7 linked regions of the Macaca mulatta genome follow. The protein of the gene in region 1 binds, or shares a complex with, the protein of each later gene. Links are inferred from orthologs where the notes say so. Each region holds a gene or a part of one and is shown in the gene's direction. Other genes may lie near its edges. The genes, in order: YWHAZ, PI4KB, ITGA4, CDC25C, PRKCE, CRTC1 and MAP3K5.

What was found.
Region 2: the proteins of YWHAZ (region 1) and PI4KB are in contact, whole or in part, in a crystal structure (PDB 5NAS), measured with the Homo sapiens proteins. The link is inferred for Macaca mulatta from reciprocal best matches to the Homo sapiens genes YWHAZ and PI4KB. Residues at the interface, in NP_001129171.1 of Homo sapiens: Asn42, Ser45, Val46, Lys49, Arg56, Phe117, Lys120, Arg127, Tyr128, Gly169, Leu172, Asn173, Val176, Tyr179, Glu180, Leu216, Ile217, Leu220, Asn224, Leu227, Trp228; in NP_001317650.1 of Homo sapiens: Lys290, Arg291, Thr292, Ala293, Ser294, Asn295, Pro296, Lys297.
Region 3: the proteins of YWHAZ (region 1) and ITGA4 are in contact, whole or in part, in a crystal structure (PDB 4HKC), measured with the Homo sapiens proteins. The link is inferred for Macaca mulatta from reciprocal best matches to the Homo sapiens genes YWHAZ and ITGA4. Residues at the interface, in NP_001129171.1 of Homo sapiens: Lys49, Arg56, Lys120, Arg127, Tyr128, Glu131, Gly169, Leu172, Asn173, Val176, Tyr179, Glu180, Ile217, Leu220, Asn224, Leu227, Trp228; in NP_000876.3 of Homo sapiens: Arg1007, Gln1008, Tyr1009, Lys1010, Ser1011, Ile1012, Leu1013.
Region 4: the proteins of YWHAZ (region 1) and CDC25C are in contact, whole or in part, in a crystal structure (PDB 5M36), measured with the Homo sapiens proteins. The link is inferred for Macaca mulatta from reciprocal best matches to the Homo sapiens genes YWHAZ and CDC25C. Residues at the interface, in NP_001129171.1 of Homo sapiens: Lys11, Glu14, Gln15, Glu39, Val46, Lys49, Asn50, Arg56, Arg60, Val61, Ser64, Lys120, Arg127, Tyr128, Glu131, Gly169, Leu172, Asn173, Val176, Glu180, Asp213, Leu216, Ile217, Leu220, Asn224, Trp228; in NP_001274511.1 of Homo sapiens: Gly210, Tyr212, Arg213, Ser214, Pro215, Ser216, Met217, Pro218, Glu219, Asn220, Leu221, Asn222, Arg223, Arg225.
Region 5: the proteins of YWHAZ (region 1) and PRKCE are in contact, whole or in part, in a crystal structure (PDB 2WH0), measured with the Homo sapiens proteins. The link is inferred for Macaca mulatta from reciprocal best matches to the Homo sapiens genes YWHAZ and PRKCE. Residues at the interface, in NP_001129171.1 of Homo sapiens: Asn42, Ser45, Val46, Lys49, Arg56, Lys120, Arg127, Tyr128, Gly169, Leu172, Asn173, Val176, Glu180, Leu216, Leu220, Asp223, Asn224, Leu227, Trp228; in NP_005391.1 of Homo sapiens: Lys365, Ala366, Leu367, Ser368, Phe369, Asp370, Asn371, Arg372.
Region 6: the proteins of YWHAZ (region 1) and CRTC1 are in contact, whole or in part, in a crystal structure (PDB 7D8P), measured with the Homo sapiens proteins. The link is inferred for Macaca mulatta from reciprocal best matches to the Homo sapiens genes YWHAZ and CRTC1. Residues at the interface, in NP_001129171.1 of Homo sapiens: Asn42, Val46, Lys49, Arg56, Arg60, Lys120, Arg127, Tyr128, Glu131, Gly169, Leu172, Asn173, Val176, Tyr179, Glu180, Leu216, Ile217, Leu220, Asn224, Leu227, Trp228; in NP_056136.2 of Homo sapiens: Arg147, Arg148, Thr149, Asn150, Ser151, Asp152, Ser153, Ala154, Leu155, His156.
Region 7: the proteins of YWHAZ (region 1) and MAP3K5 are in contact, whole or in part, in a crystal structure (PDB 6EJL), measured with the Homo sapiens proteins. The link is inferred for Macaca mulatta from reciprocal best matches to the Homo sapiens genes YWHAZ and MAP3K5. Residues at the interface, in NP_001129171.1 of Homo sapiens: Val46, Lys49, Asn50, Arg56, Lys120, Arg127, Tyr128, Glu131, Gly169, Leu172, Asn173, Val176, Tyr179, Glu180, Ile217, Leu220, Asp223, Asn224, Leu227, Trp228; in NP_005914.1 of Homo sapiens: Ser964, Ile965, Ser966, Leu967, Pro968, Val969.

Annotation. Positions count from the first base shown.
Region 1 is NC_133413.1:111,307,871-111,312,114, reverse strand, and holds the start of YWHAZ (14-3-3 protein zeta/delta), read left to right. Parts: upstream 1-1,436; 5' UTR 1,437-1,646; intron 1,647-1,817; exon of another isoform or gene 1,818-2,119; intron 2,120-2,238; exon of another isoform or gene 2,239-2,403; intron 2,404-3,020; exon of another isoform or gene 3,021-3,181; intron 3,182-3,224; exon of another isoform or gene 3,225-3,250; intron 3,251-4,244.
Region 2 is NC_133406.1:115,752,885-115,757,005, forward strand, and holds the start of PI4KB (phosphatidylinositol 4-kinase beta), read left to right. Parts: upstream 1-1,316; 5' UTR 1,317-1,720; intron 1,721-2,616; 5' UTR 2,617-2,785; coding exon of another isoform or gene 2,786-2,810; coding exon 2,811-2,818; intron 2,819-4,086; exon of another isoform or gene 4,087-4,121. UniProt on the Homo sapiens protein: Phosphorylates phosphatidylinositol (PI) in the first committed step in the production of the second messenger inositol-1,4,5,-trisphosphate (PIP). May regulate Golgi disintegration/reorganization during mitosis, possibly via its phosphorylation.
Region 3 is NC_133417.1:86,445,862-86,449,371, forward strand, and holds part of ITGA4 (integrin alpha-4), read left to right. Parts: intron 1-832; coding exon 833-958; intron 959-1,962; coding exon 1,963-2,082; intron 2,083-3,510. UniProt on the Homo sapiens protein: Integrins alpha-4/beta-1 (VLA-4) and alpha-4/beta-7 are receptors for fibronectin. They recognize one or more domains within the alternatively spliced CS-1 and CS-5 regions of fibronectin. They are also receptors for VCAM1.
Region 4 is NC_133411.1:147,148,091-147,150,471, reverse strand, and holds the end of CDC25C (M-phase inducer phosphatase 3), read left to right. Parts: intron 1-518; coding exon 519-652; intron 653-1,018; coding exon 1,019-1,130; intron 1,131-1,308; coding exon 1,309-1,458; 3' UTR 1,459-1,880; downstream 1,881-2,381. UniProt on the Homo sapiens protein: Functions as a dosage-dependent inducer in mitotic control. Tyrosine protein phosphatase required for progression of the cell cycle. When phosphorylated, highly effective in activating G2 cells into prophase.
Region 5 is NC_133418.1:79,191,509-79,195,510, reverse strand, and holds the start of PRKCE (protein kinase C epsilon type), read left to right. Parts: upstream 1-1,196; 5' UTR 1,197-1,302; coding exon 1,303-1,650; intron 1,651-4,002.
Region 6 is NC_133424.1:19,237,844-19,241,894, forward strand, and holds the start of CRTC1 (CREB-regulated transcription coactivator 1), read left to right. Parts: upstream 1-1,245; 5' UTR 1,246-1,357; coding exon 1,358-1,483; intron 1,484-4,051. UniProt on the Homo sapiens protein: Transcriptional coactivator for CREB1 which activates transcription through both consensus and variant cAMP response element (CRE) sites.
Region 7 is NC_133409.1:41,902,939-41,907,205, reverse strand, and holds the start of MAP3K5 (mitogen-activated protein kinase kinase kinase 5), read left to right. Parts: upstream 1-1,463; 5' UTR 1,464-1,814; coding exon 1,815-1,910; intron 1,911-2,156; coding exon 2,157-2,835; intron 2,836-4,267. UniProt on the Homo sapiens protein: Serine/threonine kinase which acts as an essential component of the MAP kinase signal transduction pathway. Plays an important role in the cascades of cellular responses evoked by changes in the environment.

The DNA of each region.
Region 1 (4,244 bases):
GCTCTCATTGCTAACCGTACAGTCTCTATGACTGTTGCAAGTGGTTTTGCAGGTCATCCAGGCACTAACCTTTTCTTAGCCCGAACACATTTAAAGAGTGAAGGGGCAGCGCACTGTGAATGTTTCTCTCTGAACTTCCTTAAGTCAACTGGGCGGAGGCCCTACCCGTTCAGGCACCTGCAATTTCCGCCCTTCTCCTTCCCCTTCTTCCGGGCTACTGTCCTCGCTCATCACCCGGCCCGTGGTCCACTCCCACCGCCAGCTGGAACCCTGGGGACTACGACGTCCCTCAAACCTTGCTTCTAGGAGACAAAAAGGTAATGATCGTCATGTGTTAAGTCACTGCAGTATGAGGTCTTCACGTGAAAGCTTTATTTGGGTAGGAAAACCTAGCCTACGAGAAACGGGTCCGTGCGGTCACGCCTGACTGCCTGTCTCCGGGTCAAGGCTGCCAGGACCAGCTCCAGCCCTCCGCCAGAGAAGGTTGTCCTTTCCCCTCGGAACTCTGGCTTCCCTAAAGCGGACGCGCCTCCTTCCAGGCCTCACCTCCCGCCGGCTCCGCCCGGCCCGGCCCGGCCCATCTCGTCCCCACCTCGGCGCCCACCCATTGTCCCCTCGGGCAGTCACCGAGCGCAGATCCCGAGCTCTCGATTGGAACGCCTCCCCATCACTCAGCCACACTCGGGCTGGACGCCTCACTCCCGTTTCCGAGCCATAAAAGGTCTAGGGCCGCTTCCCCCAAGCCAGCAGGTAAAGCCGCGGCGGCGGGAGGGAGGCCGGGAGGGGCCGCGCGCCCCTCCGGGCAAGGGGAGCGGCGGGGGGGGGCGGGGGGAGCGCACCACACACAACCCTCCCTTGCCGTGCGACCGCGCCCGGCCCCCGCCCCGCAAGTCCTGATCACAATGCCGGAGCCGCCGAGCCACCCTCGTCATCCTGCCCGGGGACGGCCCTGGGGCAGTTACTACCGCGAAGCACGGAGGGCGGGGCGGGGCGGGCCGGGCCTCGGGGAGAGGTGGGGGGATGTGAAAGGTCCCGGATGTTGCTGAACGGGAGCCCCTTCCAGAGGGAGTGACTGGGGCAAGCGCAGACGGCCTGAGCGAAAGCTAAGGTGGGGGTAGGGAGAGAGCGCCTTCCCACAGGCTGAGAGGAAGAGTGGACCCGCGGAGGCCACAGGGGAGAGGGAGAGAGAGGGCGTCGGGGACCCAAGGGGAAGGCGAGGAGTGGGGGGGTTTGCGGGAAAAGAAAAAAAAAGCTTCCTGCCTAGGTGCACTCGGGACAAGAGTAGAGGAGCTGGGAGCCGAGCGGGGTGGGAGAAGTGGCGGCTGCGGGCGAGGACGCACGCGCCTCCGCTCGCTCTCCAGCGCGGGCGGGCAAGACGCGCGCCGGGGAGCGGCGGTTGCGCGGGGCCCAGATCGCTGTGGGCACCAATCAACGGTTGCCATAGCAGCGTTTGACGTCATCGTGCGTGTGGTGCCCCTGCTGCCGGGGCTGGTGATTGGAGGAAACCCCGTGTCTGCGGAGCGGCTGTAGCCTGTGAGCAGCGAGATCCAGGGACAGAGTCTCAGCCTCGCCGCTGCTGCTGCCGCCGCCGCCCAGAGACTGCTGAGCCCCTGTCCGTCCGCCGCCACCACCCACTCCGGACACAGGTGAGGAACCTGGCAGCCGCCGCGCCCCGCTCCTTCCTGTCCCAGGCCAGCCTTCCGAACGCGTGGGAGCCGTCCTCGCTCCGTCCTCTCATCCCCACTAGCCCCGCGGTGGCGGCGCCGGGCTGAGGCGGAGTCTCCTCAGCGGACACGGGCGGCGGCTCCTCTTCCGCTGAGTTCGGGCGGGCGGCTAGCGGCCGCCTCCGACTCCTTGCTTCCGCATCGACGCCCCGGCGCCGATCGGTGCTCGCTCCCCCGTCCTGCTCCCGGGGGTGGGGAGGGCGCCCACACGCGAGATCCCCGGGGATCCCCCTGTCGCCGGCTCCCAAAGGTGGACGAGGCATGGCCGGGGCGCCGCCGGCCGCGATCCGTCCCCACCCTTGTCTCTGCGGGCTCCCACCCCCTCCCTCGTCGCCCTTCTCGCTTCCGCCCGAGATAATGACTCGGCGGCGGCGGCGGGCATCGCAGTGGCGCAGGTGAGGCCGCCCCCTCTTCTCTCCCTCGGCCGCCCCCTCCTTCCCCTCCCCCGCCCCCCTCCCCCTCGCGCAGCCTCTGCGCTGGGCGCTGCGGCGGCGGGACCCGGCCCTCCCCCACCCCGGGAGGCGGCGGCGCGGCGGGGAGGGGCCGGGGGCCTCGGGGATCCAGGAGCGAGGGAAAGGCCTGGCCGAGAGCGGGCCGGAGCCCAGGCCTGGCACGGCGGCGCCCGCCAGGTAGACCGGGGCGAGGCCGCGCGCCGGCGCGAGGGGGAGCACACTGCGGGGTGAGGTTTTGGGGTGGGGCTCTCCTGGGACCTAGAGCTGAATTTCGTGGGCTCCGCGGTGGGAGGAAGGACTTGAAATTTCCTGGTGGGGGTGGGGGATGGGTCTGACTTTTTTTGCTCCTTTCGAACGGGCGGAGGAGGTGCGGACGGGGGCTGCGAGTCCAGGTGGGGGTAGAGAGCGGGGTGGGGAGCCCGCGTCGGCTTCCGTGCGTGATGGACTAGAACTGGAGGTTCCCTGCGCTCGGTTTGGGGACGCATATCCTGCTTTGGGGGCGGGTGACCCTGAGCATAGCCGCTGGTGGCCCGCTCTGCTGGGTGTGGCTCTCGTCCCCTCCCCCACCTGCAGCTGTCGGTCCCTTAGAGACGCTGTACACGGGCATCGGCGCTGATCGGTGGCGGGGAAGGCGCTGGGTGGGAGAGCGGGGTGTGTCCGTGGCGGGGCTGGTAGTGGTTCCGCTTCTGCGGGCGGCTGTGGCGTCTCTGCCCCGGGGTCGGGCGGCTTCGCTCCCCCCCACCCGCCGCGCCACGGCTTGGGCGGGGGCGCGGGCTGCTCCTCCCTCTGGCTTCGGTCGGAGGAGGGGGGAATTAACACTCTGCAGTAGGTTGGGCTCCCTGACACAGATCCGCCATGACAAAGGAGAGTCGGGGACTTGAGCGGAGGCTCCGACTTGGGCGGAGCCTGGAGGGGGGTGGTTGCGGATAAGTGGACCGGAGGATTTTCACTTTAAAGTCCGGGTCTGCCGGTTTTCGTTTCGCCGTAGTCGACGTCTCAAGTCAGGTAAGGGTTAAATGGGTGCGGTGAGTCCTGCCCGCAGTGTAGAGGCGAGGCCTTGGAGCACTCATTACTGTGTGAGAAACCTTATCCACTTCCTCTTGTACCGAAGTGATTGGGTAGAGAATCCTTTGTACTGGTTTAAATCATTTTTCATTAGAAGCAGAATTAACCAGAGACTGTTTCTGAGATCCTAAGGGAAAAATTAGTAATTTAGACACCTGAGGAAAATAATGCCGACATAAAGGTTAAATAGTTTACGTATTGAGCCAGTACCTTGTATCCAAAGTGGCTAAGTAATTTGTTTAAAATGTGGGGACCTGTTCTCATTTAGTTAAAAAAATACTGTGAGATTTCCCTGGGAAGGCAAAAGATGATTAATATTCGAGAGTCAGCTTCCAAGGTGAACTCTTCCGTTCACATAATTTAAAAGTGCACTTCATTCAGGGTGTGTATTTTTCTCTCAAGTCGTTTTTTTTTTGGTGTGGTATCGCTGTGTGGATTAGTATCTTTGTGCTGTTTGCCAACTTGCCAAAGGATATCTTTCCAGAAAAATGTAGCTGAGGTAAATAGAAAAGGTCTAGGAAACTAAAACGCGAGGGAAAGAGAATTAGGTGGATAGTCATGGTGAAGAACAGCTTGAGTGATAACATCCAATTACAGTATGACAGCTAGACGCAAAATGCAGCACTTCTGCATTTCAACTGGAGCAATGACATTGGAAACACTTGTAAATCAAGTACTTCCAACGTGATATATTCTAGTACTCACAGTAAGAGTTGAAGTGCCATGACTTGTGGATATTTTTAAAGCATGTGGACATATAACAAGATAAGGAGTTGAGGCATTAGGGTCAGATATTGATCCTTTGTGGTGGATTTATACTCAAAATATCTGAAAACAAACAGTTTGGTCATTCCTCCCCCCAAATTGTTATGCTATTATTGGCTGGCAAATGTTGCAGAGATCTAGTAGGTTTGGGGTGGGGGTAACACTAAAACTAAAATTTAATCACTCCTGACGAAAGTATTATGAAAGTAAAAAGACATGAGTTAAACTGACAAGAATT
Region 2 (4,121 bases), on another chromosome or scaffold:
AAACATTGTAAGTAGTGACTCTTTCATCATCTATCCTGTATGATTGTCCCAATAATTAATAATAAAGTATTATAGTAGCAACTTGTACTCTCTTGATCCTCACAAAACCCTGTAATGGGCTAATATTACTTCATCCATATGTCTTCTTTGTAGACATAGAAACTGAGGTTCAAAGAGGTTACATTAGTTATTCCAAATCAAACAGCTTGTAAGTGGCAGGGAAGATGGCATTCAAGCCCCGGCCTCAAGTAACTAGCCTCAATGTATTATGTAAGGCCCTAACGAGGGGCATTGAATATTAAGTAAAGCCTAGGAAAGACGTTGAGACAGAGGTTCTGAGGACAAAGAGGGCTCTAAATCAACAATGTTAACCGAAAAATACACAAAGCTGGCTGGGTGAGGTGACTCAGGCCTATAATCCCAGCACTTTGGTACCTGAGGCCCGCAGATTGCTTGAGGCTAGCAGTTAGAGACCAGCGTGGGCAACAGAGCAAGACCCTGTCTTTACAAAACAAACAAACGAAAATTACACAAAAGCAACACCAGAGGCCCATTTGCATGGCGTGTTTTTGTTTATTTGTTTCGCCTAATATGGCTTCGTTTTGTTTGGAAGAAGGGATTGTGCCCTCCAAGCCTTTGCCATTTCACTCACCTCTCCCAACCTGGCCCTGTCCAGCCCCTCCCAGGAGGGCTCGGCGTATGGATGCTGGAGGTCACAGGCTGCCCAGGCTGGTGGTGACCTCGGAGGCAGAACCACGGCCTCGAGTCGGGCCTCTCTAACGGCGAAAGACTGACGCGGTCGGACCGCGCCATTCCCGAAACGTTAAGGGGTTTAACCTCCGCATCGTCCTCAAAGATGAGTAGGAAAAGGGCAGTGAGGGAGAACGTCTTCCCCGTCCGCCGTCTTCCTGCTCGCCCTTCTTGAAACCCAGCGTCCATCCCACGGCCTGATTTACTAAGGGAGTATTGTAGCGTAGGGGATGGGGAAAAGTCATTGATTACGGTAATTTGGTTGGTTACTCAAACGGTCATTTACATATAATTTGCATGTTAATATACTTCTGGAAGTATGCATATGTCCATACTTCTCTAACAGGGCACCCACGCCCGGCAGCTCACCCTACTTATGCAGCAAATTTTACTTCTCTCTCGGCTTCTTTAGCCTCGCAAACGCTATCGCTTAGACCCGCTTCATAAAGATTGTGCCCTCCTCCCACCCGTAAGCTCCTCCCTTCGCCCTCTCTCCCTCGCGAGCTTCCAAACATCTTTTCCCCGCCCCCTTTTCTATTTCTGAACAGGCATGTTCCGGGCAGCTCACCCGACTCCTTAGATTACTATGGGATCGGTAGGGTCCTGAGCGTTGGAGAAGCAGGAAAGCTTATCCTGGGAAGAAGGGCTTGGCTTGGATTTAGGAAAAGAATACTACATCGAGACCTGCTGGGGAATTTTATTTTATTTTATTATTATTATTATTTTTGTCTTGGTTGTACTGAGGGAGGAAGAGGAGGTTGTGTGGCCCGGTCGACTTGTGGCAGCCTGAAGGCCCCTTCAGGCGGCGCCGCGGGCAGCCCCGCAGCCGGGGCCTGGTGCAGCCGCCGCGGCCGCTGTCAGGGAAGCGCAGGCGACCAATGGAACCCGGGAGCGGTCGCTGCTGCTGAGGCGGCGGTGTCGGCAGTCCGACCGCGACTGCCCGCACCCCCTCCGCGGGGGTCCCCCAGAGGTAAGCTACTCCTCCTCCATGAGTCACCTTTGCCCTGTTGGGGGGGTGGTCGCTCTCCCACCCTGTCCCGCACAGTCTTCTCCACCTGAGTTCGACTACGAAACTGCCCTCCTGGTGTCAACTGCACCCCGGGTTCCTTCTCCACCCTTTCCTCTCAGGCCTGGGGTCCTCCTCCGCTTTTTGGCTTCCTCTTCTATTAGCTCCTCCCTCTGCCTCGGGGATTCCCCCCTCCCTTACTCTTATCCCTGTTGCCTACATCTCGAATTATTCTTTTTTTAAGTCATGAACCCTTTCCACATCAGACGACTCCCATAGGCCCATCCTTGTCCTTCCTCGTCGTCTCTGCCCCTGCCCCAAACCTATTCCATGGACTCCACCTTTACCTCTTTTCCTGGTTTGCCCTTTTCTTCCGATGTCCCTGTGCAACTCCGGCGCTGGGTTCCCATTTCCCTGAGACAGCGATTGTATCCTTGTCTTCCTGTGCTGCTTCTGATTCCATTACCTCACCGTCACCCACCCACCCAGCCAGCTCCTGGCTTCCAAGAATTGCCTGTTCCCTTCTCCTCAAGGGATCTCGGGCCCTTGTCATCAATCCCAAAGTGCCATTTACATTCTTACTTTGAACCTAGTCCTCACTCTTCTCTGGATGCATTATGATCCCTACCCTTAACTTTCTGTAGCTTCTCTTTCTGCCTCCTCAATCACCCAACCTTCTAGAGGTTTCTGTCTGTAGGGGAGAGGTTTGACAGTGCCCTTCCCATTCAGGATTTCCACCTTTGACACCTCCCTCGAGTTTCAAGGATTTTGCTGATCCTTGTGACATTTGGTTCTGTTTTTCCCGTGGTCTTCTTGCGTTCTCTGTCACACTCTTTATCTCCACATACCACTTATTTCAGGATCAACTAAACCTTGAACTAAGAAGAAAAATGTGTTGTGAACAGGGGGAGCCTCAGCTGCCTCAGGCCGTTCAGGACAGAAGGGTGTTTCTGAAGGCCGGAGCAAGTTTTGAAGAAGTCCCTATCAGATTACACTTGGTTGACTACTCCGGAGCAGCCACTAGGAGGGATGAACAGGCCTGCATGGAAATTGAATGAGATTGTGAGAAATCTTGTTTCAGATTATTTAATTTTAGGCTTTTGTTAAAGGAATCACAGAATAGAGTGCCTTCCCACCCCTGTCCAGATCCATGAGGAATCAGTTTACTCTTGTGGTTTACTAGAATAGTTTTGGTTGGGGTTCCATAAGAACTCAGGCCTGGAGTGGGGTAAGGGTGTAACTGGAAAAAGGAACATGAGACAATGGAAAGAGCTTATACATTCACAATCAGGACTCCTGGGTTCAGCATGTGACTTCCTCACTTGACCTCTAAAGCGATCCTTTTGGAAAATGGCCCACTCTCTATAGGCATCAGTGCAGTAATAAGTTGGTAGCAGGACGTGGGTTGGGGGAAAAAAATCAGATTTGGTTTCTTTGTTTACAAAACATTTTGGGTTCCCCAGGCAAAAGGTATTTATTAGTGATGATTTAGTCATCCAGAGAATTTTCCTTCACCTTGATCTTTCTGTCGGATGTTTCTAGTCCACAACCAGGGGTGTAAGTCATTTTGAAAGACAAGCTCCAGGACTGCTTCTTTCATCTGCTTTGCTTTTTCGCCCAGTGCATTAAGTGGCTGATTTTCTGTGCTGTTCCTCATGTACTTGATCCATAACTCCAGATTCTATAGGTGGAAAGTATGTTTGTGGGAAAGCACTTCAAGGAAACTGGCTGGAAAAGAGAACTTGGAGTGAACTGAGACTTAGGCAACTAGTTGCTGCCATGTCTCTCTCAGCCTGTGATAGTGAAAGGGCACATAAAATTCCATTCAGTTTCTAATTCTAGGCCTGTTTGGGAGTAGTTATGTCATCTTATCCCACTTCCTTTCTCTTCCTTGTTGTTAGCCATGGTACAATCTCCTCATAATTCCCCTTATTAGAAGAAGCTTTCCTGCCGGGCGCAGTGGCTCACGCCTATAGTCCCAGCATGTTGGGAGGCTGAGGCAGGCAGCTCACCCGAGGTCAGGAGTTCGAGACCAGCCTGGCCAACATGGTGAAACCCCGTCTCTACTAAAAATACAAAAAATTAGCCAGGCATGGTGGTGGGCTTCTGTAATCCCAGCTACTCAGGAGGCTGAGGCAGGATAATTACTTGAATCCAGGAGGCGGAGGTTGCAGTGAGCCGAGATCATGCCAGTGTACTCCAGCCTGGGTGACTGAGTGAAACTCTGTCTCAGGGGGAAAAAAAAAAAGAAAAAAGGAGAAGAAGCTTTCCTCCTTGGAAGCATCTCCAACCAGAAATCGTATTTGCTCTCGTATCTGCTTTCTTCTTAGAGTTGGGTCCACACTCCATGAGAATGCTGAACACC
Region 3 (3,510 bases), on another chromosome or scaffold:
TGTCTTAAATACTAAAATAAATGCAAACCAATCCTTTATTCAAGTAATAATGCGAAAATGGATAACTGTTTTCAGTCACACTGTAAGCTATGAATTCACCATGCATTTATTGAGTTATGCTTTGAATATTATATATTTCATTACAGCTATAGATTTACAGTGCAACTTTTACATTCGATTTAAATAACAGAACCATATTCTACCATCTCCATTGAATAATTATTTTAAGATACATTTTTGTGTGATATGGACCTACAGAAGTAACTTGATTGGTAGACTTCTTCATAGCACTTGAAACTACTGTGCAAATATGAGGATTATAGCCTTTTTTGAAGGAAGCACTATTCAAACCACTTCTTAAGAACCAATATTCTTTCATTGATGGTTCCATCAGAATTGTTTTGAGCTTGCCAGGTTGAAGACAGAAGTCAACAAATCTAAATACGTTTGAGGTCTGATTTTAAAATCCTACTTAAATTCCGGATTCAGAGAGAAGAATATGGTGTTATATTGTTTCCCCTATAAAGGAAAAGAAATATTTAATATCATGCTAATGTTCCAATATCAATTTTTACATTTCTGCAAGGTTTAAGGCCACGTTATCAGCTTAGAACCTATATCCAACCTTCTATAATTCAGCTGGGTTTTTGTGTTTCTGCCACACATATTTAGTCACTCCCAAATATGTCAAAAAAAAAAAAATTCTACAATTTCAAAGGTACTTAATATATTTTAGCAAAGATAAGCTACTGGAACTTTTAAAACCATGTTGCTTTTTGCTGTTTTTTCCAATGATGAAAGATAAGATTTCTCTTCCTTTCTATCTTCATAGACTACTACTGGAGAATGCCACTTTGAAAATTATCAAAGAGTATGTGCATTAGAGCAGCAAAAGAGTGCAATGCACACCTTGAAAGGCATGTTCCAGTTCTTGTCCAAGACTGATAAGAGGCTATTGGTAAGTTTCCATTTTTCAGGTTGTAGTTGCTGCTTTCCAACAGAGAAGTGAAACACTTAAAATCAAGTCAATGGGTTTGAGCTGTCACTTCAATAAAAGAGAAGCCAAGTTTAGGTAGTATTCTTGCATGGAAGGAACAAGCACGGTTGGAGAGTTGAGAAAGACCTAGGGTCTATCCCATATATAAATATGTTAGCTGGGCATGGTGGCTCATGCCTGTAAGCACTTTGGGAGGCCAAGGTGAGCAGATCACAAGGTCAGGAGTTTGAGACCAGCCTGGACAACAGAGTGAAACCCCGTCTCTACTAAAAATACAAAAATCAGCCAGGTGTGGTGGCAGGTGCCTGTAATCCCAGCTACGTGGGAGGCTGAGGCAGGAGAATTGCTTGAATCCGGGAGGTGGAGGTTGCAGTGAGCCAAGATCATGCCACTGCACTCCAGCCTGGGTGACAGAGCAAGACTCCATGTCAAAAAGAAAAAAAAAGTTATACAGTTTCATTTTTTTATCTAACAAATGCCCACTATTTGCCAACAAAACATTGTTCCAAACCCTTCAGGACACCAAGATGTTGTCTTCACCTGGGCAGCCTTTGTGGCATGGGTTAATTTTCATTCTTTTCAGCTTAGTGAATGTATGAAAAGAAACTGGAGAAGCAGTCATCACCTTGAAATGATCCACGTTTTACAACAAACATAGAATATGTAACTTAGCAAGACTCTGATTAGAACATTTTTTTAAAAAATTCTGTCCCAGAAGATTGTTAATACAAATAGGAACATATGCTCTATTTTAAATACTTTATTATAATTTAGAAAATAAGCATTCATGTCTTGTTTAAAGATAATTTAAATGCCACTGAGGAAAGCAGATGTTAAATTTCATATTTATAGAAAGATGATTTTCAAAATGCCATTAGAGTATATATTAAATTATATATAAAATATTTTTAAAATATTTTCCAGTGTTGAAAATTTTAATGTATCACTTTTATATTCCTTTCAAGTACTGCATAAAAGCTGATCCACATTGTTTAAATTTCCTATGTAATTTCGGGAAAATGGAAAGTGGAAAAGAAGCCAGTGTTCATATCCAGTTGGAAGGCCGACCATCCATTTTAGAAATGGTAAGTCTAGGCCAGGCGCGGTGGCTCAAGCCTGTAATCCCAGCACTTTGGGAGGCCGAGACGGGCGGATCACGAGGTCAGGAGATCGAGACCATCCTGGCTAACATGGTGAAACCCCGTCTCTACTAAAAATACAAGAAAATTAGCCGGGCGGGGTGGCGGGCGCCTGTAGTCCCAGCTACTCGGGAGGCTGAGGCAGGAGAATGGCGTGAACCCGGGAGGCGGAGCTTGCAGTGAGCCGAGATCACGCCACTGCACTCCAGCCTGGGGCACAGAGCAAGACTCCGTCTCAAAAAAAAAAAAAAAAAAAAAAAAGAAAAAAAAAAAAGAAATGGTAAGTCTAAAACATATTGACAACTTGGTGGCTAAGTTTACATACAATCTATAAATTCAGTCATATAGGCAGGATAGTATGAAGACATTCAACAAATAAAATTTTGGAGTAAAACTCGAAAACTATATTTCTGTCACTTCAACTAAGTGAAATGGCTTTAGAAATTAACAGGTAATAAAGGCTAAAATAGGCCAGGCATAGTGGCTCAATCCTGTAATTCCAGCACTTTGGGAGGCCAAGGCAGGAGGATCACTGGAGGCTACGAGTTCAAGACCAGTTGTATTCCTAGGTAGATGTGTGGTGTTATTTCTGGGGTCTCTGTTCTGTTCCATTGGTCTGTATATCTGTTTTGGTTAGCCTTGTAGTATAGTTTGAAGTCAGGTAGCATGATGCCTCCAGCTTTCTTTTTGCTTAGAATTGTCTTGGCTATATGGGTTCTTTTATGGTTCCGTATGAAATTTAAAGTAGTTTTTTCTAATTCCGTAAAGAAAGTCAGTGGTAGCTTGATGAGAGTAGCCTTGAATCTATAAATTACTTTGGGCAGTATGGCCATTTTCATGATATTGATTCTTCCTATCCATGAGCATAGAATATTTTTTCCATTGGTTTGTGTCCTATTTCCTTCAGCAGTGGTTTGTAGTGCTCCTTGAAGAGGTCCTTCACATCCCTTGAAAGTTGGATTCCTAGGTATTTTATTCTCTTTGTAGCAAATGGGAATTCACTCATGATTTGGCTGTCTGCTTGTCTATTGTTGGCATATAGAAATGCTTGTGATTTTTGCACATTGATTTTTGTATCCTGAGACTTTGCCAAAGTTGCTTTTCAGCTTAAGTAGTTTTTGGGCTGAGACCATGGAGTTTTCTAGATATACAATCATATCACCTGCAAACAATTTGACTTCCTCTCTTTCTATTTGAATACCCTTTGTGCTTTTTTTTTTCCTTTTCTGAGATGGAGTCTCGCTCTGTCCCCCTGGCTGGAGTGCAGTGGCGCGATCTCGGCTCACTGCAAGCTCCGCCTCCCGGGTTCCTGCCATTCTCCTGCCTCAGCTTCCCAAGTAGCTGGGACTACAGGTGCCCGCCACCGTGCCCAGC
Region 4 (2,381 bases), on another chromosome or scaffold:
AGGGGAGTACTGGAGATAGCTCTTTATTGAGAAGAGTCTGTGGACAAAGGGACCTATGAACTCTAGAATTAGGACAAAGATTACATATTTGAAGCACATCAAGGCTGAGGTCCTCATTGTTTTAATTCTGTATACCTTAAGCAGCTTACTTTCCCCTTTCCTTCCTAGATCTATCTCCCTCTTTTCTGTAGGAGCCAAGGGGTCCTACCTAGAAATAAAAACATGAATCCAAGGACTAAAGCACTTTGCAAACACTTAATATTCATGAACATTCCTCGCAGTGATCCCTATACTTCCAGTAGTTCAGTTCTATGAACATTTATTGACCATCTACTACATACCAAGCTCTATGCCAGGCGTTCAGGGTATATACAGAGATATACTTAGACCCCTGCCCTAAAGGTGCTGATAGTCCAGCTTTTCTGGTCCAAATTATCCCAGGTTGGTGTCTCAGTCATTTCTAAGTATTGGCACTGTCTATAAGCCCCTGAGGAAATACTAAAATTCTTTTTCTACAGGGAGCCTTAAACTTGTATAGTCAGGAAGAACTGTTTAGCTTCTTTCTAAAGAAGCCCATTGTCCCTTTGGACACCCAGAAGAGAATAATCATCGTGTTCCACTGTGAATTCTCCTCAGAGAGGGGCCCCCGAATGTGAGTGTCTAAATGGGGTCTGGCGGGTGATGGAAATGGATTTTGAGTTGGACTTCCCACACCAGTTCAGACAGAGACTGACTGGATTCTACGGTTTGAAGAATGTTAGGGAGGTTGAAGGAAGACGTTTCTAAAATTGAAAAGTATGAAACAATAAAGGAAAAGGGACTTGAGAATGAGACCGCAGTGGAGGAAAGGAGGAAGGGTGGTGCTACTTGGACCTTTTTTTTTGCAAACACAGTGAGATTGGAAGGTCCTTGTTGAGGTTGGCAATAGTCTATTCCTCTCCTCCCTGCCCAGTGAATAGCCCCTGGGATCCTGACCTTGTTTCTTTCCACCCCACCCATCTCTGGGTTCTCTCTAAAGGTGCCGCTCTCTGCGTGAAGAGGACAGGTCTCTGAACCAGTATCCTGCATTGTACTACCCAGAGCTATATATCCTTAAAGGCGGCTACAGAGACTTCTTTCCAGAATATTTGGTAAAGGGTGGGGCATGCGGGGAGCCAATTTTAGCATGCAACTCCCAGGGCCTGCAAAGCCCTCAGAGAAGAAACTGCTGCTCCTCCGTGGCCACTGCCAGCAGCAGCATCTCTATTATCCTTCGTAGGTAGAGTTCAGGAGTCTAGAGAATCCCTTACTCTGTTCCTTACCTTTCAGGAGCTGTGTGAACCACAGAGCTACTGCCCTATGCATCATCAGGACCACAAGGCTGAGTTGCTGAGGTGTCGAAGCCAGAGCAAAGTGCAGGAAGGGGAGCGGCAGCTGCGGGAGCAGATTGCCCTTCTGGTGAAGGATGTGAGCCCGTGACAACATTCCAACCACTGGCTGCTAACGAGTCACCAAAAGACACTGCAGAAACCCTGAGCAGAAAGAGGCCTTCTGGATGGCCAAACCCAAGATTATTAAAAGATGTCTCTGCAAACCACCAGGCTGCCAACTTGTGTACAGGCCTGGGAATGGCTTCGGTTTCAGCAGAGCTGAAAGCTGGTGGCAGAGTCCTGGAGTGGCTCTATAAGAGTGGCAGACTTGAGTTGCAGAGAGATTTTTGTTGGTTCAGGGAACTCTGGCATTCCTCTTCCCAACTCCTCGTGTCTTCTCACAGGCCAGCCAACTCTTTCTCTCTGGGCTTCTGGCTGTGCAAGAGAGTTGTCTACCCTCTTTCTTTGTATTTTCCTTCTTTGTTTCCCCCTCTATTTTAAAAATGGAAAAATAAACACTACAGAATGAGACGTGTGATTGTGAGCCTAGCCTGCTCCTAGAAGATCTGTCTACAGAGGAGATCACCAAGTTAGACTACTTCAGACATATTATCTTTATTCTCAGCTGAGGCCAACATGCTTTTCTCTAAACCAGCAATTCTTAGGCCGTGGCTTACATCTGTAATCCTGGCACTTTGGGAGACCGTAGTGGGTGGATCACTTGAGGTCAGGAGTTCGAGGCCAACCTTGCCAACATGGTGAGACCCCCATCTCTACTAAAAATACAAAAATTAGCCAGCATGGTGGCATGCTCCTGTAGTCCCAGCTACTCAGGAAACTGACACAGGAGAATCGCTTGAACTCAGGAGGTGAAGGTTGCAATGAGATCGTGCCACTGCACTCCAACCTGGGCAACAGAGAGAGACTCTGTCTCAGAAAACAAAAACAAAACAAAAAACCAGTAATTCTCAAAGTTTGGACCCTAGATCATCAACATCATCTGAACTTGTTTGAAATACAGATGTTCGGCCG
Region 5 (4,002 bases), on another chromosome or scaffold:
CAGTGTTGACCGCAGGGTCCCCGAGAGATGCGCGGCCCGGCGGGGCCCATCCGTGGCCATCCACGGCCCCCGGCACGCGCACCCAGCCCAGCGCCGCCGCTCCCGCGGGTCCCGCGCGGGGTCCTCCCCAGGTTCCCCCGCCCGCCGCCGCGACCCCGGGCAGCCTCGCCCGCTCTCCACGGTTCTCTCTTCGGCTCACTTTTTCCGTATTGCTCCCCCAACCGGCAAAACTTTCTATTTCCCCAAACACTGCCGTGCGCGCGCGCGCGTGCACACACACTCACACACACACTCACACACACTGACGTCTTTTGCGCATTTCCTGCATTAGAGGGAGGGAGACTCGCTCGCACACCGACCGAGGGAGAGGAGACCGCGGGGGAGCGCGGGCTGGCGGGCGGCGAGCGAGCGGCAGCCGAGAGCTGGGACGCGGGGAGCGCGGCGGGCGGGCGCCGGCGCCCAGGAGGTGGGGCCGCGCTGAGTCGCAGTCCCGGCCCCGCCGCCGCGCTGCGCACCGCCGGGTGCTGGCCTGCGCCCCCGAGCCGGATCGGCGGCCGCCCGGACTCCGAGCCGGCGCGGATGTGAGATTCCGGGCTCCTGGCGCCTCCCGATCGCCGACTCCGGCGCGGCGCTGCTTCGCCCAGGAGGCGGCGGCCCCGGCTGGTCGTGGGGCTTGTGGATTTTTAAAAATTTGGCTCCGAGGGGGACCATTTCCTCTCGACATGCATCCCTCCGGATAAACTGAACATCCCTCCGTCCACCCCCCGCCCCGCGCGGCCAGAGGCAGGCGCTGAGTGTGCGAAGAGGATCCGGGTTGAAATCTGCGCCCCCGGTTCTCGTCCCCGCCCCGTCCCACCGCCCCATCCCCCTCCCGGAGTCGAAATTTCCCGGGATTATGTTTCGGAAAGGTAGGTAAACGCCGGGCGCGGCGCCCGCTTTCCCGCAGCCCGGAGTCGGAGAGCCAGCGAGGCGGCAAGGCAGCCCCTGCGGCTTGCAGCGGAGCCGACAGCTCGTCTTCTCTTCTGGAGGTGCAGCTGGTGGTCGCGGGGAGAGACTTGCTCCAAACACGGACATTCCCCAGCTCTCCCCCCTCCCTGTTTTCCGTTAGGAACCCGGCGAGGAAATACATGCACTGGCTGAGACTCGCCCGCGCCAGGGCGCAACGCCACAAGGTGTAGGGAGTGTGTGGGGTGGGGCGAAAGGGGACCCAGGAGTCCCTGTGGCTCGGAGCGGGCCGTCGGTTCTTCATTCCTGCCCTCGGGGCAGACGGAGTGACCCCGGCCCCCACTCCCCGCCCCGACCATGGTAGTGTTCAATGGCCTTCTTAAGATCAAAATCTGCGAGGCCGTGAGCTTGAAGCCCACAGCCTGGTCGCTGCGCCATGCGGTGGGACCCCGGCCGCAGACTTTCCTTCTCGACCCCTACATTGCTCTCAATGTGGACGACTCGCGCATTGGCCAAACGGCCACCAAGCAGAAGACCAACAGCCCGGCCTGGCACGACGAGTTCGTCACCGATGTGTGCAACGGGCGCAAGATCGAGCTGGCTGTCTTTCACGATGCCCCCATAGGCTACGACGACTTCGTGGCCAACTGCACCATCCAGTTTGAGGAGCTGCTGCAGAACGGGAGCCGCCACTTCGAGGACTGGGTGAGTTCGGCGCCTCCACGTCGGTCCGGGAACCCGGTTGTGGGGTCCCGGGGAAAGACTCGCTGGCCTTGATCGTAGGGGTCCGGGACTTATTGACGACTGGGGTGTGTGTGTGTGTCTGTAAATCTCAGTTTCCTTGAGGAGGTGCACTTCACTTCATAGCTGGGGAGAAACAGGCACTGGCGAGGAAGATGAGACTTGGAAAGAGGATGTGGCCCTCTGCCCCCTCTGTGCCCTCCAGATGGTGGGTGCTGCGGGAGGTTTGCAAACTGGGAGAGCCTGGGCCGCCGGTGCTGAAGGTTGGCCGAGGACCCGGCTTTCTTCCGCAGGCGCGTGGTGGGCTGGCTGTGTGTGATTGTGTGTGGGTGGGTCCCTCCGTCCTTGGAAAGGCACGTGGAGCCTTTGACTGAAGGCTTCTTGCACGTCCTGGCTTTGTCCTGCTTAGCCGAGCGAGGAGTTGCTTTATTTTTCCCTCCGAGAGGGAGCTGGCTTGTTTCTGTTCTCCTGCATGGTGGTTAGCTCATCTTCTGACATACGAGTAGAAAAAATGTGTTCTCCAGGATGTCTCCTCTACGGTCCCAGAAACATCAGTTGGGCTTGTTTTGTCCAATTCATTGCCCATCCATGCAGAATGAATGTTGCATTTTAAGAAGGGTTCTGCCTGTGGGTAATTGGAAGTCAGCGCTTTGAATCTTATTTAAAGTTATATTGTTTCTCTGTTTTGATTGTTAAGATACTGTGCAATAAAAGACGATTTCTAAGCCTGAGATTGAGTTGTTAATTGATTTCATTGTGAAACTATTAAGGATTTGGAAATAGGTCTTGTCTCAATCTACTATAAACCAAATGCATCCAACCTTGGCACTTGGACAAGCGAAGAGAAGGAAACCTTCGTTTTGCTTTTTGTATTTGTTTTTGGGTTTTTTTTTTTGGTTTTCTTTTGCTCTTCTTGGAAGGAAGGTATTAATTTAGGACATGGATTTTTGTGTTTTCAGGTTTGTTACATGTTTCCACCAAGAGCAAGTGCAAGCGTTCCTCTGGAGGTATATGCTTTCGGGGTTCTTTGGTCTACGGAAAAAGTGAGAGAGCTATCTAAGCCTCAAAAGTGGTGTAGAGCAATTGCTTTCTGTTGAAAACCAGATAACTTCATGAATGTCCTAGAGGTCAGAGGGTGCACATGAATCACCTTGGCATATCACCTTACACATTTTTTTCAAGGACACGGAGTTTTAGGGAAAAATAGGAGAGAGCCTGTTGTTTTTATGCTCATGGCTGTGATGTAGTCTGCCTGAAACCATGGTTACGGTTTCACAGGAAAGCTCCAACAAGCCACATGCGTAGAACTCTAGATTTGTGGTTTGCACTTTGGAAAGCAGGCAAACCTTTATGGAATCCTGAGAACTCCATGCCATTCTATTCTACTTCACAGATGTCCCTCATCTCTGCTTCCCTCAGCCCCCACAACAGAGCTCCCACTCATTCCCCATTTCCTTTCCATGCATGGCCTTTGGGCTCTTTCCTCATGGAGGCAGTGCATGTGAGAGGGGGAGTGGAAGGGCTAACTCATTTCAGAGGCAAACCTTGACACTGAAAACCTGTGATTTTGGAGTTGTTGTTTTTGGACAGGAAGGGGATGGAAAAAACTTGACGCTGGTAGCTAGGAGATGGGGGCCTTTTGCAGTGTATGCAGTTGAGGGGCTTTGACAGTGGGGCAGAAAACAGGGACAAGGAGCAGCAGGTCTGCATTTATCCATAGAACAGATGTTGGTTGGAGGGAGAGCGTCTTTGTATCTCTGGTGATGTTTTGCTGGGGCACACCACAAACTCTGGGAGCTTCAGGACACTGTCCCCACCTTCATCACTCCTAGTGAAGCATGCAGTGGGAACTTGTTTGGTGATCATCCTCTAAGGTTCTCAAATTCATGTTGGATTTGGCCCTAGACCAGATCATTTAGTGCACAGGCAAGTTTTACAGATGAGGACGTTGAGTTCCAGAAAAGTTAATTGGGGACCGAGGGTCACGTGACAAGCAAAGGTGGGTTGGAAGTAGGGCCCTCACCTCCTGTTGCCCATGGCTTGTCTGATGGGGAGCCGAGCCTGTCCATCTGGCCTCCCAGCCTGTTCTCCCTGCAGATCCATGAGCTGTGTCCCCGACATTTTTATTGTGCTTGATAACTTCATCTCTTTTGCCTTATAGCAAGTGTGAATTAGGTATGGCAGGTGTTGGACAAACTAAAAAACTTGAGATAGAGAAGCCCAAAGTCTCAAGGGTGAATCAAGTGGTGGAGCAGGTACAGAATGCCCATCTGTTTTCACCAGAGGATGTTGTGGCCACTCTGGTTCTTCCAGGCT
Region 6 (4,051 bases), on another chromosome or scaffold:
CCCTCCTGCTCCCCTGGCTCACCACTCTGCCATCAGGGAGTCTCTGCTCATTCTTTCACTGCTGAGTCTTGACGGGATTTATGGACCCTTCTGTTAGCACCTTTTTGCAAAATAGAGATCCTTGAATAAGACTGGACTGGAGAAGTACGCAGAGGGAAGGCTGAAGCTCTGTAACTCCCGTTCTTTGGGCTCAGGTATCCAGAGAACAGCAACATGCCCATTGCAAGGGAATGGGAAAAGACCGTCGTTGGCTGGGCGTGGTGGCTCACTCCTGTAATCCCAGCACTTAGGGAGGGCGAGGCGGGTGGATCACCTAAGATCAGGAGTTAAAGACTAGCCTGGCCAACATGGTCGTTAGTCTCTACTAAAAATACAAAAATTCGCTGGGCGTGGTGGCGCATGCCCGTAATCCTAGCTACTGGAGAGGCTGAGGCAGGAGAATGGCTTGAACCTGGGAGGAGGAGGTTGCAGTGAGCCGAGATCGAGCCCCTGCACTCCAGTCTGGGCGACAAGGGCAAAACTCGGTCTCGAGAAAAAAAAAAAAAAGAAAGTCGTTAAGGACAACCGCTAGGTTTATGGACTGAGGGGGCCGATTGCAGGGTTCAGGTCTTAGCTAAGATAACTTCCTGCCTCCCTGTCTGTGGTGGCTGCAGGAGCCCCCCTCCCGAATGTTCTGTGGCTGGCCACTGGTGTTATTTACCGCATCACATTTATCTCCATCTGAAAAGTTCTTGGTTATTTGTGTGCTATGTCTGCCCCCTCTCTGACTGTACACTCCATAAGGGCAGGATCACCTCTGCTTGTTCACGCCTGTACCCCAGTTTGCCTGGCACATAGTAGGTGCTCAGTAAATATTCCTTGAATGAATGAATGCATGAGTGACCAACGCCCTAGTCTGTTTTCAGAGCTCTTAGTCCAAACCCAGGTTCAACCTTGGGGTGCTACCAATCCTTGGGGGGGTGCCTGGCCCCACCCTTGTGAATTGGGAGGATCTGGGTCAGGCCGTCTCCCTTTTGGGGGCTCCAGTGCCCCAGCCGGTTCGCCGTCCTTGTCCAACAGCCAGGCGGCCGCTGTCCAGCGGGCCAGGCGGCGGATCACTGCGCCGGCGCTGAAATTTCCACTCGCGCCCCACTGTACTTCCCGCGGGCCCCGAGCGCGCCGCCGGGGCGCGCGCATGCGCCTTCGCCCCCGCGCCGCGCGCCGCTCCCGTGCGCCTGCGCCGCGCTCACGACCGCCGGCGCGCCTGCGCACAGCTCGCCGCCCGTGGGCCCAGCCGGCGCTTGCGCGGTGGCACGGGCGAGTGGGGGGGCGAGGAGGTGGAGGAGGAGGAGGAGGAGGAGGAGGCGGCGGCGAGAAGATGGCGACTTCGAACAATCCGCGGAAATTCAGCGAGAAGATCGCGCTGCACAATCAGAAGCAGGCGGAGGAGACGGCGGCCTTCGAGGAGGTCATGAAGGACCTGAGCCTGACGCGGGCCGCGCGGGTAAGGGGGCTGCCCGCGCCGACCCTTCAGGGCCGGCGGAGGGAGGGAGGGGGCGCGTGTCCGGCGCGTGCACGGGGCGGGGGGGGGGGGCGCGGCGGGGGCGGGGCGCGCGCGACGGGGGCGGGGCTTGGCACGGCCCGAGGGGGACAGGTGTCCCCACGCCCCGGGCGTCGTGGGCGGGACAGGTGACCCCACATCATCCATACCTGATGGGGTACAGGTGCCCCCACATCACTGCTCCCCGGAGGAGATAGGGGCCTCTACATCATTACTACTAGGAGGGAACAGGTGCCAGTACCTTGTCGTTACCTGACAGGGGACAGGTGTCCCTACATCATTGTTACCCGAGGGGGACAGGTGCCCCACATTATTACTACCTGGAAGGGACAGGTGCCCCCGCATCATTGCTACCTGGGGGGCAAGATGACACAGGTGTATGAGCTGGGTGCTGCTTGCAAGCACCATTGGTAGCTGGGGGTGAGGGTGCAAGTGCCCCCGCATCCTTGCTACCTGGGAGGGACAGATGCCCTTCCATCCTTGCTACCTGAGGGGGACCGGTGTCTCTACGTCATTGTTACCTGTGCCTTTACTCCCTGGGTGTTGGAGGAGGAACAAATGTCCCCACTTGCAGAGCTGAGGTGGGACAGGGGTCTCTCCCTCTTGGACAGCTGAGGGAATGGTCAGATCCTGTCCCCCAGGGGATCCAGAGGGGGGCCAAGAAAGCAGATTGTGCTCGGTCCTGGAACTTGGAGTAGAGACAGCTGCCCCTTCTCCATGTAGCCCATATGGTGGGGACCAGGTGATGTTCCTCCTAGTGGAACAGGGGACGCCGACCACGGATGGCCCCTGCCCTCTCAGGACCAGGGCAGAGGGCCAGGTCTGCCTCAGGTGGCTGGGTGCATTTGGTGTGCAGGAAAAGGCCAGGTTCTGCCAGGCTGGCAGAGCAGATACCCTGCAAATCTCACCTGGGAAGTTGTTGTGGGCCGGGAGTAGGGGCTTGATTGGGGCTGGTGTCTGAGCACGGCAAGGCACCTGAGTTCCTCAGGCCTCAGTTTCTTCCCTTGTCAGGCATTCTAGCAAGACCTTCCTCCTGGGCCAGGGCGGTGAGCACACTTTGCAAAGGTGATGCTGAATCTCCACTTTGTTCTTGCAGTGTGGTGAGACCTCTCTCCTGCATCCTGGGGCCTTGAGGAGGGTTTGGGTGGGGGCTTTGCAGATGCTCATATCCCTGGTTTCTGGATTCGGCCACTGATGTGACTGGCTCAGGTGGACTTAACCTCAGTCTCCCATTCCTTAGGTAGCACTTTCAGGTTGTGTTACTTTGTAACTAGTTGTTTGTTTCTCTGAGAGATTGTGACCTTATAGACCTTATAGGATTTGTGTCTTCATTTCCGTGTTAGTAATGATTGGGAGCTTGCTGTCAGCCAGGTACTGCTTTAGGCATGCTAGGTGAGCGTGCCACATCTGTCCCTCCAGCTCCAAGCAGCTACATTCTTGCTCAGGATGTAGAGAAAGAGATGGCTGGTGAATGAATGAATGAATGAAAAAAAAAAAAGATGGCCAGGCGCAGTGGTTCACGCCTGTAATCCCAGCACTTTGGAAGGCTGAGGCGGCAGATCACCTGAGGTCAGGAGTTCGAGACCAGCCTGGCCAACGTGGTGAAACCCCATGTCTACTAAAAATATAAAAATTAGCCGGGCGTGGTGGTAGGCACCTGTAATCCCAGCTACTCAGGAGGTTGAGGCAGGAGAATCACTTGAACCTGGGAGGTGGAGGTTTCTGTGAGCTGAAATCACGCCACTGCACTCCAGCTTGGGTGACAAGAGTGAAACTCCATGTCAAAATAAATAAATAAATAAATAAATAAATAAATAAGAAGAAAGTGTGCGACTTGAGCATCCTTCCACATGAGTGTTCCCCACATATCAGGGCTTCTGAGGTAGGAGTGGCCACTTCTTATCTCTAGCACATGGTGTGTGCTGGTATTCAGTTGGTGTCAAATGTTTGCAGTGTGACCAGAAGAAAGGGGTCACAGTAGGTTCATGGGTGTCATTCTGATTAGAAGTCCAGTTTCTGCGTGGGATTGGAAATAGATCATTGTTGTTGAAAACATCTCTTTAAAATAATAGCTTTATTGAGATATGATTCACGCATCATACAATTTACTTGTTTAAAGTGTACAGTTTGGTGGTTTTTAGTATATTCACAGAGTTGTGCAACCACCGCTATTTTGTAATTCCAGAACATTTTTTTATCCACCCAGAAAGAAACCCCATCCCCATTAACAGTCACTCCCCATTCCCCCTCCCCCAGCACCTGGCAAGCACTAAGCTGTCTTCTGTCTCTGTGGGTTTGCCTATTCTGGGCATTTTATATAAACGGAATCACACAACACGTGGCCTTTTGTGACTGGCATCTTTCACTCAGCATCATGTTTTCAAGGTTCATCTCTGTAGTATCATGGATCAGTGCTTTGTTCCTTTTTACGGTCAAGTAATATTCCATTGTATGGATATGTTGTATTTGTTTATCCATTCATTGATCAATGAATTTGGAAAAATTCTGAGG
Region 7 (4,267 bases), on another chromosome or scaffold:
CGATCCTCCCACCTTGGAGAAAATTTAAAAACTCTTTCCTTTAATCCTTTTATTCTCTCTCTCTTTTTTTAATTGAGATGGAGTCTCGCTCTGCCGCCCAGTCTAGAGTGCAGTGCTGCCATCTTGGCTCACTGCAACCTCTGCCTCCCGGGTTCAAATGATTCTCCTGTCTCAGCCTCCCGAGTAGCTAGGATTACAGGCGGCTGCCACCACGCCCAGCTAATTTTTGTATTTTTAGTAGAGAAGGCAGTTTCACCATGTTGGCCAGGCTGGTCTTGAACTCCTGACCTCAAGTGATCTGCCTGCCTCGGCCTCCCAAAGTGTTGGGATTACAGGCATGAGCCACTGCGCCCAGCCTTTCCTTTAATTCTTTAGTATTCAATTATTTTATCCTTCCTTATTACCCGGTTTGAAATGTAATTCATAGCTGGACATGGTGGGTCACACTTGTAATCCCAGCACTTTGGGAGGCCAACGCGGGCGTATCACCTGAGGTCAGGAGTTCGAGACCAGCCTGGCCAACATGGTGAAGCCTCCCTGCCTCGCCCTGTCTCTACTGAAAATACAAAATTAGCCGGGCGTGGTTGGCGCATGCCTGTAATCCCAGCTACTAGAAAGACTGAGGCAGGAGAATCGCTTGAACCCGGGAGGCAGAGGTTGCAGGGAGTTGAAATCGCGCCATTGCACTACCGTTCCGGCAAGAACAGCGAAACTCCGTCTCAAAGAAAAAAAAAAAAAAAAAAGAAAAGAAAAAAGTAATTTACATTTTCTTCTGCCCTTTTCATAGGACTCACCAGTCTCAGTTCCTGGAGACGGGAAATACAAAACCTATTTCTTTACTCAGTTGTAACTTGCACTGGCTTTCCTAACAATTACAGCATTCTGGGGTTCTCTGGGAACTTACACATCTGTTCTTTGCTCCCCAAATAAGCAGGTACTTTTTTGATTGCTCTTAAACAATCTGGGTATTTCCCTCCCCTCCTCGAGTGATGCAGTTTAAAAAATAGAATAGGTCACGTAATTCTCCTGTTTCATCTTGCTGATAATTTGTGGAGTCGGGTATAGACTCCATTTTCTATCTTAAGTAAGTATCTGGCGCTTGTGGGGGAATTAAGATCCTAAATGAGAATGCTAAGTCCTTCGGCAGTTGGCACTAATCAATTACTCATTACTCATAACGGAATGAGCCACTGGAAATTTTAAAAGGAAAGGTACATGGGAGAACCTGATAAATTTGGCCTGCCACTTCTGGAGTGCCACAGTCACTAATGAAGCACCCTCCGGTGTAGGCCCTGGGTCCAGGGCGCTATGTGCAACCTCCTGCCTCGCGCAACGTCGGTCTCCCGGAGCCTGTCCTGCCAGCGCCTCGCACGGTCCCAGTCCACGAGGCCGCCAAGGCCCGGAGGGGGGCGCCCTCGTTGCGGGGAACACTGGAAATGCTTCAGGGGCGGACTCCGAGGACCGAGTATTGGTTGGAGAGACTTTTTGCGCCACCCTATAATCGCTTGCGCTCCAGGTCTTCTTAGTTGGGGGCCGGGTGGGTGAGGACCGGGACCCCATGCCACGGGCGGCACTCAGAGAAGGGCTGGGGTCCGAGGGCCGCAGCGCGGTCGGTTTCGTCCGGGCTCGAGCTTCCTAGCAGCGCCCTACCTGGGGGCGGGCCCTGATCCCGGGTGCCGCGACGAGTGGGTGGCCAGAAGCTGGTGGCGGAGAGTGAGAGCGACTGCTAGGAGCGACGAGGCTGGCGCGGGGACGACGCGACGGAGGCGATCGGAAGAGAAACGAGGTCGGGCGAGTAGGAGGAAATCCAGCCCATGAAGGGGAGCTGCCGCCAAGGAGGGAGGAGGGTGCTTTCGGCTGCCGCTGCTGCTGTTCCGGGACGTCGCCCGGGGAGCCCGCCCGCTCGTAAGGTGCGCGCCAGGTAGCTCAGCACCCAGGGGGCGCCCTTCCTGGCTCCTCCCAGAGCGGCCGGGACGGAAGGAGCTGCGCTGTGCGGCGCTGCTGGTGGCAAGCGCGGGCTGCACCCCGAGCGCGGCGCCCTTGAGCTGCACCGCAGCGCAGGTTTGTAAGCCGACTTGTCAGCCGGCCAAGAAAAGGAAGCTCCGTCCCTTCCCGCTCACCCGACTTCCCCACCCCTTGTACTCTAAACCCTGCAGAGGGCGAGCGGCGCGGCCACGGAGGCGCCGAGGAGGAGCGAGCCGCCGCCGGGCAGCGGCGTGCCCTCGGGGGAGAGGGCGCCGGAGAGGAGGCGGCGGCGAGGCGGCGAGGGCGCGGCGCGCGATGGCAGTTGCTTAGCCCGGCGGGCGCGGAGCAGCCCCGAGCTGTGGCTGGCCAGGCGGTGCGGCTGGGCGGGGGACGCCGCCGCCGTTGCTGCCCGGCCCGGAGAGATGAGCACGGAGGCGGGCGAGGGCATCACTTTCTCCGTGCCACCCTTCGCCCCCTCGGGCTTCTGCACCATTCCCGAGGGCGGCATCTGCAGGAGGGGAGGAGCGGCGGCGGTGGGCGAGAGCGAGGAGCACCAGCTGCCACCGCCGCCGCCGGGCAGCTTCTGGAACGTGGAGAGCGCCGCCGCCCCAGGCATCGGGTGTCCCGCGGCCACCTCCGCGAGCAGTGCCACCCGAGGCCGGGGCAGCTCTGTTGGCGGGGGCAGCCGACGGACCACGGTGGCATATGTGATCAACGAAGCGAGCCAGGGGCAACTGGTGGTGGCCGAGAGCGAGGCCCTGCAGAGCTTGCGGGAGGCGTGCGAGACGGTGGGCGCCACCCTGGAAACCCTGCATTTTGGGAAACTCGACTTTGGTGAAACCACCGTCCTGGACCGCTTTTACAATGCAGGTGCGTGTGTGACCCCTTTGCCATCCCGCGCGGTCGGGACCCACGTTTAATCTGGCCATCTTCGGGGCATTTCATTTTTCTGGGCGGGAAGCATTTACTTCTTGCCCCACTTTGGGGGCAGCGAGCGCTGCTGCGTGACTGCTCTTGTCGCTTGCTGCTCCGGGGAGAGCGTGTGTGTTTGTGAAAGAGTCTGTATTTGTGCGAGAGACCCATGGATCCACCCACCGCCCAACGCTGGAGCCCTGGGTCCCTGCGATCGACTTGAACTGTTCTCTAGCAGTGAGAGATATTAGCCCCAGTCAGTCCTTCTCCGTTCAGTGTCTCGGTTTCGCTTCTGTGAGGTTTGGTCCCTGTTTTCCTTCTGTATATACCTGTGACCGTTTTAGATGAGGTTCTCCTTTTCTCCGTGTAGTTTTGAGAGTACAGGAACGATGACATACCATGCACGCAGAGTGTAACTATAGTAATTTGCACGCCGTATCATGAGCTTCGCAACACACCTTACCCTCAATAAGTTTTAGTAGCTTGAATTTCCTCTCACCAACCCAGACTTTGAAGTAATTACAGTGCTTCCAAAGGCAATAACATCACAACTTACACTGAACTTGTGTGTTATCTTTGTAAGGATTTTGGTGAAAGAACCAGGGCCTGTTTTTTGTTACCCCATAAACCATGATGGGCTAGAAAGTTTATAATTTAACATTGTCTAAAACACCTATATGCTATCCTAGTAATAAGATTAGTTTGGCCATTAAAGTGATTGCTAGCATAATCCATGAAAGAAATGTATCTTTTCAACCTATCTCAGATTTCAGAAAACGTTAAGGCAGTTCTAGTAACTGAAGCAATTAGCTGTTTGCAAATGTTAGGAATAATACCATGCTATCGAAATTAACCTTTAGCCTCCTGTACGTCCAGTGTTGAGAATATATACATATTTAAGTTTACATTTGTGGGTAAAAACTTGGTTTAATGGTTTCAAAACAGTACACTTCTTGCATTTGTGATCACATAAAAGGCTTTATTTTCCAATCTTGTTTTCAATTCTGATTCTCTTCAGTATCTTCCAAACACCTGAAGTAGGCGTATGTCAGTTTTGGAATTCAGCCAAAGCTGAGTATTTTAAGAACAACAAGAACTTCATGTTAAGGAAGCCAGACTAAATAAACTAGGACTTTCTGGTTCTGGTATTTTTAAAATAGTTTTGGTCTTCATAACTGAGCATGGCTATAATGTATTATAGCTTGATTCTTTGGGTAGCTTGCTATAAAAGTTACATCAACGTAACTTTTCTAAAAATTATAGCGCTCTTATTTTTGGATTATAATTTGGAAGAAGCTTCAAAGAACTAAAAGATATGAGAGGAAAATACCCAACTGAACACTTGAGCCTATTTTTATTGCACTGATTGGGCGTTTTTTTCTAGGGCTCT